2 linked regions of the Oryctolagus cuniculus genome follow. The main gene of each other region encodes a partner of the protein of the gene in region 2 in a complex. Links are inferred from orthologs where the notes say so. Each region holds a gene or a part of one and is shown on either strand. Other genes may lie near its edges. The genes, in order: DBT and DLD.

Region 1 (6,323 bases), on a different chromosome or scaffold from region 2:
TGTGCTAGCCTGTGACTTGTTTTGGACAAACAAAACAGCAGAAGTGAAGTTGTGCAAGTTCAGGAGCCTAGGGGCCTCAAAGATCCTCACAACTTCTACCTTCACCTTTTGGAATGCAGCTCTGAGATCTCCACGCAGGGACACCGATCTATTTTATTAGAATATGAAATGCCATGGAGATGAGCCATGAGATGCCCCAGCTGAAAATCAGTATCAATTGTCAGCCACGTGAGTGAGACCACTTTGGATCTTCCATCCAGGTGATCCTCTAGAAAGCAGTCAATTTAGTGAGCCCAGGTGAAACCAGCAGAAGAACCACCTAGCCAACCCACAGAAGCCTTAGAAGTAATCACCACTGTTTTATCCACTAAATTGTGGGGTAGTTTATAATTCAGCAATAAGGCCGGCGCCGCGGCTCACTAGGCTAATCCTCCGCCTAGCGGCGCCGGCACACCGGGTTCTAGTCCCGGTCGGGGCGCCGGATTCTGTCCCGGTTGCCCCTCTTCCAGGCCAGCCCTCTGCTGTGGCCAGGGAGTGCAGTGGAGGATGGCCCAGGTGCTTGGGCCCTGCACCCCATGGGAGACCAGGAAAAGCACCTGGCTCCTGGCTCCTGCCATCGGATCAGCGCGGTGCGCCGGCCGCAGCGCGCTGGCCGCGGCGGCCATTGGAGGGTGAACCAACGGCAAAGGAAGACCTTTCTCTCTGTCTCTCTCTCTCACTGTCCACTCTGCCTGTCAAAAAAATAAAAAAATAAATAAATAAATAAATAAATAAAAAAAATATAATTCAGCAATAACTGATACAAGAGTCAGACATGTGGCACTGCTACCTTTAACGCCATTATCCCATATGAGCACTAGTGTGAGTCCCAGGTGCTCTGGCTTCCAATCCAAGTACCTGCTAATGAGCCTGGGAAAGCAGTGCAAGATAGCCCAAGTGCTTGGACCTTTACCACCTATGTAAGAAACTGGAGGGAGTTCCAGGCTCCTGGTTTTGGCCTGACCCAGCCCTGGCTGTTGTGATCATTTGGGAGAGTAAACCAGCAGATATAAGATATCTCTCCCTCTCCCTGACTCTTCCTCTAATTCTGCCTTTCAAATAAGTAAATCAATCATGGGAAAACAACAACAACAACACAGAGTCCCATCTACAATATCAGATCTGTGACTTTAAGCCTATCATTTCAGGAAAAAAAAAATCTGTGCATGGTGGATAAGGTTGGGAAGGGAATGGCAGAAGCAAAATGAGGCAGGGGAAGCAAGGGTCTACTGAAGGTAAGCAACCAAAGTACGGAGTATATCCTTACATAAAGTACATTCAGATGTGGTTTGGAGCTTATTTTTAGATATTTTTCAAAGCTTACTGAAAAGGATAAGACAAATTTAAGAAACATAAGAAGGTAGTTCATAAAGTTTGTGGAAAATGGACTGAACAGATAAGGCTGTTTTGGTGCCACAATTTTTGAAACTGATGCATGATTTTTGATAATGCACAATTTCCGTGAACTTCTAGAAGATCCCTTGTATGAAATGTAAAATTGATCAGGTTTTGGTAAACAATATGATGTGAGAGAGGAGTCACGCTGACTACAGGTTTCCAGCTTGACTCATTGATTTAAGCAATACAGGAAGAAGAGGAAATTTGTATAAAACTGAGTTTGAGGAGTTTGAGTTATACATGCGATATTGAAATGGAGATACATAGCAACAATTGGTGAGGTCTGAGAGCTACAGATTCAGAACGTTCAATATGTAGTAGGTGAAGGTATATCTGTAAAAGTGACACAAGAAGATGGGAGGGCCAAGGATAGGATCCTACAAAAGACTGAAATTTAGGAGAGAAACAGGGGCCTGGGTTGTGCAACATGTTGGGCCACCACTTGCAACACTGGCATCCCACATCAGACTGCTAGTTCAAGCCCCAGCTACTCTTTTTTTTATCCAGCTTACTGCTAACCTGCCTGGGAAGGTGGCAAAAGATGGCCCAAGTACTTGGGCCCCTGTCAAGTATGTGGGAGACTAGGATGGATTTCTTGGCTCCTGGTTTCAGCCTGGCCGAGATTGGCTGTTGAGATCATTTGGGAAGTGAACCAGACGATATAAGATCCCTCTTCTCTGTCTCTCCTCCCTCTCTGTTGCTCTTTCAAATAAATAAATCTTTTTTTAAAAAAGAGGGAAAAACACACAAGATGAAGAATGATCAAGGCTGGCATTGATGCAATGGGTCAAGCTGTTGCCTGCAATGCCAATTTGAGTTTCAGCTGCTCTACTTCCAATCTAGCTCCTTGCTAAGGCACCTAGGAAAGCAGCAGCAGAACACTTAAGTGCTTGGTTGGGCTCTTGCTACCCATGTGGGAGACCTGAATGGTGTTCCAGGCTCCTGGCTGTGGCCTGGACTATAGTTGGCTGTTGTAGCCATCTGGAGAGTGAACCAATAGATTGAAGATTTTTGCTCTCTCTGTAACTGTGCCTTTCAAATAAATAAATCAATCTTAAAAAAACAGGAATCTTTAAAAAAAAGAAATCAAAACAGTGATCAGTGTTGAGCACTGGAGCCAGGACAACGAGAGAGAGAGAGAGAGAATATGAGTGTCTAGAGGAAGTATGTACTAAATACTTCACATATTTTAATTTATTTAATCCACCCAGGTATAAGGATCTTTGTTTTGATTATTGATATATCCCAGCTACCTCAACTACTGCCTTGGCACATAGCAGGCGATCAATAAGTATCTGTTGTTGAATGAATAAATTCTTATTATACAATGAGCTAAATATTATGAATGCTTCCATTTTGAAAATGATGAAACTGAGAAAACTTAAATAACTTGCTCAGTTACACAGCTAGAAACTGGCAAACCAGGAACCCAAGTAGCCTGGAATTAGTGGATCCAGGAACTCAAAGGTCATGATAAATGATCAGAGGCTGTAGAAGGAAGCTGGAGTTTCTGTTTGAATAGCTTCTAGCCCAACAACAACAACAACAAAATTAACTTTTAAAAAATACAGATATTTTTTAAAAAAAGTGAAAATAAGGTTTACATGCCTTAGGCTGAGGTAAAGGAAGGCAGATAAAAAACATGGAGGGGCCAGCTCTGCGGCATAGCAGGTAAAGCTGCCACCTGCAGTGTTGGCAGCCTATGTGGGCACCAGCTCGAGACCCAGCTGTTCCACTTCTAATCCAGTTATTCAGTTCTCTGCTGTGGCCTGGGAAAGCAGTTGAAGATGGCCCAAGTGCTTGGGCCCCTGCACCCATGTGGGAGACCCAGGAAGAAGCACCTGGCTCCTGGCTTCAGAATGGCCCAATTCCAGTTATTGCAGCCATTTGGGGAGTGAACCAGCGGATGGAAGACCTGTCTCTCTGTCTCTGTCTCTGTCTCTCTCTCTCTCTGTAATTCTGCCTTTCAATAAGTAAATAAATCTTAAAAAAAAAAAAAAAAAAGCATGGAGGGGCTGGCACTGTGGCAAAGCAGATAAAGCCACCACCTGCAGTGCCGGCATCCCATATGGGCACCGATTTAAGACCTGGCTGCTCCACTTCTGATCCAGCTCTCTGCTATGGCCTGGGAAAGCAGTACAAGATGGCCCAAGTCCTTGGGCCTCTGAACCCATGTGGGAGACCTGGAAGAAGCTCCTGGCTCCTGGCTTCAGATTGGCACAGCTCTGGCTGTTGCAGCCAATTTGGAGGTGAACCAGCAGATGGAAGACCTCTCTTTCTCTCTGCCTCTTCTTCTCTCTCTGTGTAACTCTGACTTTCAAAAAAATAAATAAATCTTAAAAAAAAAAAAAAAGCATGGAGAAATTGAACTCAAGGGTGATATCTGCACGGAATTCCCTATTTTTCCCTGTGAGCACAGAGTAAGGCCCTATTATCTGTCCAAAGCTTAGCCATATAACAGAAGTCTAGGGTCCTTTATCAGGGTTTTAAACAGAACATCAGAAAAAAATGTTCTTATGCCCTTGCCAAATCAATCTTCAAGTTCTTTATAGAGAGTAGAAAAAGTTGGGCAAAAGGTAAGTAAAGCATAATAGCAGGAAACTTTCTGTTCAGGAGTGTTTAAGACTGGTTTCATCAGACCATGTTAAAATCACAGATTAAGTGCTTCATTCACCAAACAATACCATGGTGTGTACAATGACACAAAGACACTTCTATTAAGTCTATGATTTATGTTGACTGAGAAGGTCATATCAATGCTAACTATTGCATTTAGATGAGTCAGATGATAAAGAATAGATGGCCCAACACAACCCAATTCTAACATTATGAAGACACAAGTATTAAGAAAAGTATGTGAAAGGTGACAGGGGAAGGAGAAGTTAGGGGCTGGGAGTGTAGGAGTGGAGGCAAGAAAAAAGAAAATGGGTAATGGATAGACATGGAGAGAGTCAGGGCAGAAGTACGTGGGGTTCAGGGCCAGCATTTTTTACTTTGATGAATCTTTGATTACTAAGTACTGAATAAGATATAACACATTACTTTATATATGTTATCTTGAGATCATACTTACCAGCGGTCGTTTTCAGCAAGTGATGTGGATGACTGTAGTTGAATGAAGGATAACCGAAGAAATACACACATTTTGGCTTCAAAACATGAACAATACCACGTGTTTGAAAAGAGCGAACACAAATCTACAGGTGAGAAAACAAAATGTAAAAGTATTTATAAATGAACTTATGGATTATTTAAGTATGTATTGAATTTCAATTCCATTATTTAGTAAGACAATTGCTAACACAATATAAATATGAAATTACCTAAGCCAAAACCAGAATACTTCGTAGCAATGACAATTTATGAAGTATATGACAGTTTCTGAAGTATGGTATCTATATTTCTAAGAAGTCAAAGAAATTCAAACCCTAGCCTACACAGAACATTTTGTTATTCTTTTGTTTGTAATACTGTAACTTCAGAGTCAAATTTGTTCATATGTTTGTGATCCTTGACCAAAATTCCTTATGAAAGTGTTTTTAACAATATGTTCTGTATAAACAAACACACCAGCCCATATCTTAAGCAATTAGACTTCCTGAAATACAACTAAAAAACTCTGAAGTAACTGTTAGCAAGTGAAGATACTAGAAAACATGTATAATTTCTACTCAGATTTTTTGTATCATACTTTATAGTAGACTCTTTAGATTTAACTATTTTATATGATACTTTAGCATAATGTAATGCTATAGAAATGAGTGGTCCTGAATGTATTCAAGTCTATATTAAAATCTAACTACTTAAAAACTACAGTATCATATCTTGAAAGTTAAAATTCACTGTTGCTAATATTAATACCTGATTAGCTAAATCATACTTTTAACAAAAACTATAGAAATTCCTAACCTTCTGGTATGTATTTGAAATTCTTTCATTTATTCAGGAGACAGTCACTTTTACTTTACCAAAAAGGGTATCAGGGGCTGGTGTTGAGACGTAGGGTAAAGCTGCTGCCTGCAACGCCAGCATCCCACATGGGTGCCAGTTCATGTCCTGGCTGCTGCACTTCTGATCCAGCTCCCTGCTAACGGCTTGGGAAAACAGCAGAAGATGGCCACCCACCACCCACAAGGGAGACTGATGAAGCTCCTGGCTTGGCCTGGCTCAATACTGGCCATTGCAGCCACTTGAGGAGTGAACCAGCAGACGGAAGACTTTGCTCTGTCTCTCCCTCTCTCTTCTGTAACTCTTTCAAATAAATAAATAAATCTTTAAAAAAAAAACAAAAACAAGAATTACCCAAACACACAAATAAGTTTATCAGTACATTAGTGGCAATTAGTCCTTAAATTCTAAAGTTATACTACATTATAATATACATTATATATTCTAGTTACATTTAATACATATTCATAAATATGAATTTTTATGATGGTAAATAATATAAAACAAAAAATTTGGTTAATGTATAGGAACAATACATTTAAACAACTGATTTCTCACTGAATTTCTAAATTGTTATACTTTAAAAAAAAGGCTTGTAGCTTTTAAATAAATTATTTATTTTTTTTTTTTTTGACAGGCAGAGTAGATAGAGAGAGAGAGAGACAGAGAGAAAGGTCTTCCTTTTTCCATTGGTTCACCCCCCAATGGCTGCTGCGGCTGGCGCACCGTGTTGATCCGATGGCAGGAACCAGGTGCTTCTCCTGGTCTCCAGTGCGGGTACAGGGCCCAAGCACTTGGGCCATCCTCCACTGCACTCCCAGGCCATAGCAGAGAGCTGGACTGGAAGAGGGGCAACCGGGACAGAATCCGGCGCCCCGACCGGGACTAGAACCCCGTGTGCCGGTGCCGCAAGGCAGAGGATTAGCCTATTGAGCCAC
Region 2 (6,323 bases):
TGGAAACCTGAGAGGAGCCTAGAGTAATGATTAAAGGGAAGGCTGAGAAAGGAGAACCTGCAAAGAAGATGGAGTCAGTCCTCAGGGCGGATGTAAAATCAGCACAACGTGCCATCAGAGAAGCTAGGAAATTTCGAAGACAAGAAAATCAACAATGATGATGACAGGTACCAAAGAAAGCAGTGAAGACTGAACAGTAAATCCATTCATGTCCTTATCAGGAGCAATTTATTGGCACAAGCAGCCATGGACCAAGGAGTAAGAGTTGATGAAACAGAGCATGGACAACTCTTGAAAGAAGCTTGGTGATAAAGAGAAGGTGACAGGGAATTAGTAACTGAATAAGGACACGGGGTCATGAGAAGGCTTTTTATATGTACATAAGTCTGCATCTGTACCTGCATACCTGTGTGTAACATGTGAGTGCACACACAGCCACACTCAACTGTAAGTGAAAGAGAAGCACAAGGAGAAACAAGTCTGAACACTGAAAAATCAAGTCCACGAGAAGGCAGAAGATGATGCACTTCCAAGCCCGGGTGAAGGGACTAATCTCAATGAGAAAAAGCATTTCCATAGTAACAGGAGGGAAGAGCAAAAGAACAGCTGTGAGGTCAGGCAAAAGCATGGTCGAATATGGAGCATCAGGCTGAAGGGGTCCTCGCTTCCTCTCTCACGCCATCTTGAAGAGACACGGTAACCTGTGGGCAGGGAAAGATGGTGTACCTGCGGGTCTGCCAAGAGTGGGAAATGAAATAGCACTGCAGAGGCCAGGACAGAGTGCCAGCTACGCAAATAACAGATTGTCGGCAACGCTGGTGAGGTTCCTGCGCAGGCCTGTGACCAACAACTGCACAGGCACCTGTCTGCAGGGCATGTATCTTCCAGATGCAGTCAGCAGACTGGGAACAGCATAAAAAAAAAGAGACGCGTTCAACAAGGACAAGAGCTCTGCCATGGAGATACGACCAAACTGTGAGGCAAGTGACTCAAGACTGACACAGAGTGGCTGAAATGACAACTGGGCAATCAAAACTGGCCAGGAAAGCAGTCATGGAAGGAAAGGACTGAGTTAGAAAAAAAACCATAGGTGGACCTATGGAGAGAAAACCTAGCAAAGTTGAGTATAAAACTACACCAGAAACAACTGAGTAAGAGGACAGCAAGTTGTGGTTAGAGAACAAAATGCCTGAGTTTTATGATTTCAGAAGTAGAGCAATTCCTGATGATTACCAGACACAACAGCCCTGGGGACGGCCACCTAAAATGGAGGGGAAAGGACACTGGAGATATGTGGAAAGTTGCCAGGTGGACAGAGCAGGCAGAAGGTATCAAATAGCATGGGGTGCAAAGAACTGCAAGTAGTTTGACATTGCAAAAACATAAATTAAGAGGGACCAACATGAGGATGGAAAAGCAGGAATGACCAGATCACATATGTCATAGTAAGGAGTCTGATCTTTACCTGGAATACAGTTGGCTCAGAATGAGAGCTGCCTTCAATACCTGAAGGGCTGTGGGAGATTCAGAAAGAACGAGACTAGTTTTAGGGAACAGGTGGGTGGAAGGTATGGGGAAGCAGATTGGAAAAAAACAAAAAAACAAAAGGAGATTGTTCTAATGGTTAATGGTTACACACATTTAGTACATAGGTTATCCTGAAAAAAAAAATGTGAATTCTTCATTATTTTTAAACAAAACTCAACATCAATGGTTTATAATGTTAAACCAAGAAGGGATCACTTACCAATTCTACTCCTATTACTCCTGCACCAATAACAACCATCTTTTCTGGAACTTTTTTTAAAGATAAAGCACCTGTAGATGATACTATTGTATCTTCATCAATCTATAATAAAAACACAAGAAAAATGATTAAAGTTATTTGGAAAAAACCTAGTGATTTATAAACTATGATGTCACTGTAAAATCACTGAAACTGCTTCACTGTTGATTTTGAGGTTTCTATACTTGCCAGCTCAATTTCATCAAATCCCACTTAAAAATGCTGAATTTTATCATTTGGAATTTCAAAACAAAATTGTAACTCTTAATTTTTTCATACTGATTTCAGCTCAGTGACTGTCAAGATGTAGTATTTCACTCAGAAGTCTATTTTTTAAAAAGATTTTATTTATTTATTTGAGAAGCAGAGTTACAAACAGAGAGAGGGAGAGACAAAGTGAAAGATCTTCCATCTGCTGTTCACTCCCCAGATGGCTGCAACAGCCAGAGCTGAGCCGATCAGAAGGCAGGAGCTGGGAGTTTCCTCTCGATACTACACATGGGTGCAGGGGCCCAAGGCTTTGGGCCATCTTCTTCTGCTTTCCCAGGCCATTAACAGAGAGCTGGATCAGAAGAGGAGCAGCCGGGACACAAACCCAGTGCCCATATGGGATGCAGGTGTCTCAGGGAAGCTTAGCTTACTATGCCACAGAGTGCTAGGCATTGCCTAAAACCTCCATTACAATATGGCGCATGGTGAATGTTCGAGGGGCGTGTCTGCGGCTGCTGCAGTTAAGCTACGTAAGATCAGACCACTGGCAGGGATAGGTCTGCTTTAGTTCCGGACATGTGGACAGTGCGTGATCCCTATACTTTACTTAAGGTGCCCCTGTGCAGGGTCCACCCGTGCCTGTGTGACCTTTTCTCTGATTGGCTCCCCTACTGCGCATGTCCTTCGTAAGCTTTATAAGCCTGTACACTTCCTCAATAAAGCGGTTCCTGCTTCGACAGAACTCACAGGTGGTGTGGTGTGTTCATCACCAGCCGTCGACCTTACCCTTCCCGTTTGCCTTGTTGGGGAGTGTCTGTACTGGCCCCTGCTGGTCAGGGGCCAGCCTCAGACTTGAGACTCCAGCAACAGAGCTGGCCCCAGAGATCTATCATTTAAAATTCACAAACAGCATAAGCTAAATTTATAAAACACACATCCAGAAGAACATTGTAACGGCTATTACTGGTAAAGTGTAAGTACCGTGATTCCAGGAAAAGGAGTAACTTCTGATCCCGTAGCTACAAGAATATTCTTTGTGTCGATGACCTGCGTGCTGCCATCAGCTTTTGTAGCAGTGACCTGATTTTTGCCAGTAATCTTTCCATATCCATTGACATGAACAACCTTCATAAAAGAATAAAATTCACAAAGGTTAAAATAAATTTTTGATAAATATGATTAGTAAGATTAAAAGCCCTCTGTAAATAATTTATCTAATACAAAATGCTGCCTTTGGCAAAATATGACAAACCCAAAGTCTGCTTCATATTGAATGGAGAAAAGTTATAAGCATTTCCACTGGGACCTAGAATCTGACAAGGATGTCTACTTTCACCATTACTATTCAATATAGTTTAGCTAGAGCCATTAGAAAAGAAAAAGTAATCAAACGGTAAGGAGGAAGTCAAATTATTCCTGTTTGCAACTAACATGATCCTATACAGAGGGGAACCAAGACTCCACTGATTGACTACCGGAACTCTTAAGAGAGCTTGGTAAAGTTGCAGGATATAAAATCAACACACAAAAATCAATAGCTTTTGTGTACATAAACAATGCCATGGCTGAGAAAGAACTTGTAAGATCAGTACCATTCACAACAGCATTCAAAGAATTCAAATACCTTGGAATAAATTTAACCAAGCATGTGAAAGATCTCTATAATGAAAATGACAAAACATTAAAGAAACAGAAGACAACATATACAAATGGAAAAATCTTCCTTGTTTCTGGATTGGAAGAATAGCATCAAAATGTCCACACTACCCAAAGCAATTTATAAATTCAATGCAATCCCAATCAAATTACCAATGACATTCTTCGCAAATCTACAGAAAAGAATGCTAGAGACCCTGAACAGGTAAAGCAATCTTAAACAACAAACACAAAGTCGGAAGTATCACAATACAAGATTTCAAGATATATTACAGGGCAGTTACAATCAAAACACTCTGGTACTGGCACAATAGACACTGGAACAGAATAGAAACCCACACAGCTACAATCAACTAATCTTTGACAAATGAGCTAAAATCAGTACCTGGAGTAAGGACAGTCTCTTCAACAAATGATGATGGGAAAATCTGATCTATGAGTGTTGAAGTATGAAACAAGACCCCTATTCCTTACATCTTATACAAAACTCAACACACAGTGAATCAAGGATCTAAATTTATGACTAGATACTGTTAAATCACTAGAGGAAAACCTTGGGGAAACTGTGCAAGACATTGGCATAGGGAAAGACTTCTCGGAAGAGACCCAGAAGCACAGACAATACAAACAAAAACAGACAAATGATATCACATCAAGCAAAGAAGCTTCTGCACAGCAGAGGAATCAACAAAGTGAAGAGGCAACTGACAGAATGTGAGAAAATATTTACAAACTATACACCTGATAAAGAATGAATATCCAGAATACATAGGGAGCTCCAGAAACTCCTGAACAACAAAACAAACAATCCAGTTAAGAAATGGACAAAGGACACAAACAGGCATTTTTCAAAGAATGAAATCCAAATGCCCAACAGACACATGACAAAATGCTCAGGATCACTAGCCATCAGGGAAATGCAAATAAAAACCACAATGAGGTTTCACCTCACCCCTGTTAGAATGGCTATCACTCAAAAATCAAAAAATAATAAATGCTGGTAAGAATGTAGAGGAAAAGGTACCCTAATACACTGTTGGTGGGAATATAAACTTGAACAACCATTATGAAAGACAGCAATGGAGATGACTCAGAACTCTAAAAACAGATCTACCATATGACCCAGCAATCCCACTCCTGAGAATTTGCCCAAATGACATTAATCACCATATGAGCTATTTGTATCCCATGTTAACTGCAACTCAATTCACAAAAGCTGAGATATACAATCAGCCCAGATGTACATCAACACTGATGAGTATATGAAGAAAAAATATATACACTATGGAATACTGCTCAGCCATAAAAACAATGAAATCCTGTCTTTCACAGCAAAATGGATGCAACTGGAAACCATTATGCTTAGTGAAATTAGTCATTCCCCAAGAGACAAATATGATTTATAGTCTCTGATATGTGGAGGTTAAGAGCATACAAAAAAATTTATAGGCATGAAACAGAAATCTTGTGATCTGATTGTCATTTTTCACCCTTGTTTATACTCCTGTGGTCTTTTTAATCTATGTGCTGAATATTACGGTTAGTGGTGCATTAAGTCTGTGATTATAGAGTGGATCAAAAACATGTTTTTGCAAAAATTAAAGAAAAAAAAAGGAAGCAAAGAATGAGGGGGATTCAGGGAGGCAGAAAAGGAGGAAGGGAAGTACAGTTATCTTAAAATTGTACCTATGAAATACCTGAAATCTGTTCTCTTTATATTAAGACCTGTTACTGTGTCAGGTTAAGCATCACATCAGTTTTTTTTCTGTTTTTTTTTTTTTTTTTTTAAGAGTTATATATTTATTTGATAAACTTACAGAGAGAGAGAGAGAGAGAGAGAGAGACAGAGAGAGACAGAGAGAGACAGAGAGGTCTTCCATCTATTCATTCACTCCCAAAGTGGGCAGCAGAAGCCTGGAGTTTCTTGCGGTCTCCCACATGGTTGGCAGGGGCCCAAACACTTGAGCCATCTACTATTGCTTTTCCCAGGCCATTAACAGGGAGATGGATCGACAGTGAAGCAGCCAGTGAGCACCTGTATGGGAAGCTGGCAGCTTTACTTGCTAAGCCACACCGCCAACCCCAGTAGTCAAGTGCAAACTAGAACACTCTATCAGCAGTAAACAAATGAGAATGTTTCAAATACGTACAAATTAGACAGAAATCTGAATATTCAACACCAACCTTATTCTGTTTGAATAAATGGGCAATTCCACCTGTTAAAGCTTTTACTGCAGTACTCTTCTGCTCCATCATCTTCTCTAAATTCAAGCGAACTTCAGACACTGTAAGTTGTTAAGTAAATGTGTAATCATTATCTAAATTCTTGAATTGCGGTATTTTTTTTTTTACTAAACCAAGTCTACAAAGCTTCAGCCTACTGTTTACAAGGCTTTATAAAAGGCATTAACATTTTAACTTAATAGCTGGTATGATAATCATAGCTGATAAAATCTCATCAACATCATATCTTAATAATGGAATCTTTATACACTGTAAAATGTAGACCCTGGGTAAAAGCACAGTCCAAAATAAAATATTACATCCCACTTTGAACATCTTAGGACTGTTCTAAGTCTGGAGGACATTTAAGAAGAAATCGAAAAGTAAAACACCATTTAGAATTTTAAAAAGGAAATAATAATTTCATGAAATTAAAGATACACATTTG

Evidence for each region.
Region 1: the proteins of DLD (region 2) and DBT are in contact, whole or in part, in a crystal structure (PDB 3RNM), measured with the Homo sapiens proteins. The link is inferred for Oryctolagus cuniculus from reciprocal best matches to the Homo sapiens genes DLD and DBT. Residues at the interface, in NP_000099.2 of Homo sapiens: Ser446, Thr447, Asp448, Arg449, Glu472, Tyr473, Gly474, Ser476, Glu478, Asp479, Arg482; in NP_001909.4 of Homo sapiens: Thr174, Pro175, Ala176, Lys196, Arg199, Leu201, Lys202, Glu203, Leu206.

What each region holds. Positions count from the first base shown.
Region 1 is NC_091438.1:70,077,877-70,084,199, reverse strand, and holds part of DBT (lipoamide acyltransferase component of branched-chain alpha-keto acid dehydrogenase complex, mitochondrial), read right to left. Parts: intron 4,635-6,323; coding exon 4,511-4,634; intron 1-4,510. UniProt on the Homo sapiens protein: The branched-chain alpha-keto dehydrogenase complex catalyzes the overall conversion of alpha-keto acids to acyl-CoA and CO(2).
Region 2 is NC_091434.1:136,264,182-136,270,504, forward strand, and holds part of DLD (dihydrolipoyl dehydrogenase, mitochondrial), read right to left. Parts: intron 5,938-6,323; coding exon 5,837-5,937; intron 3,122-5,836; coding exon 2,978-3,121; intron 1,850-2,977; coding exon 1,748-1,849; intron 1-1,747. UniProt on the Homo sapiens protein: Lipoamide dehydrogenase is a component of the glycine cleavage system as well as an E3 component of three alpha-ketoacid dehydrogenase complexes (pyruvate-, alpha-ketoglutarate-, and branched-chain amino acid-dehydrogenase complex).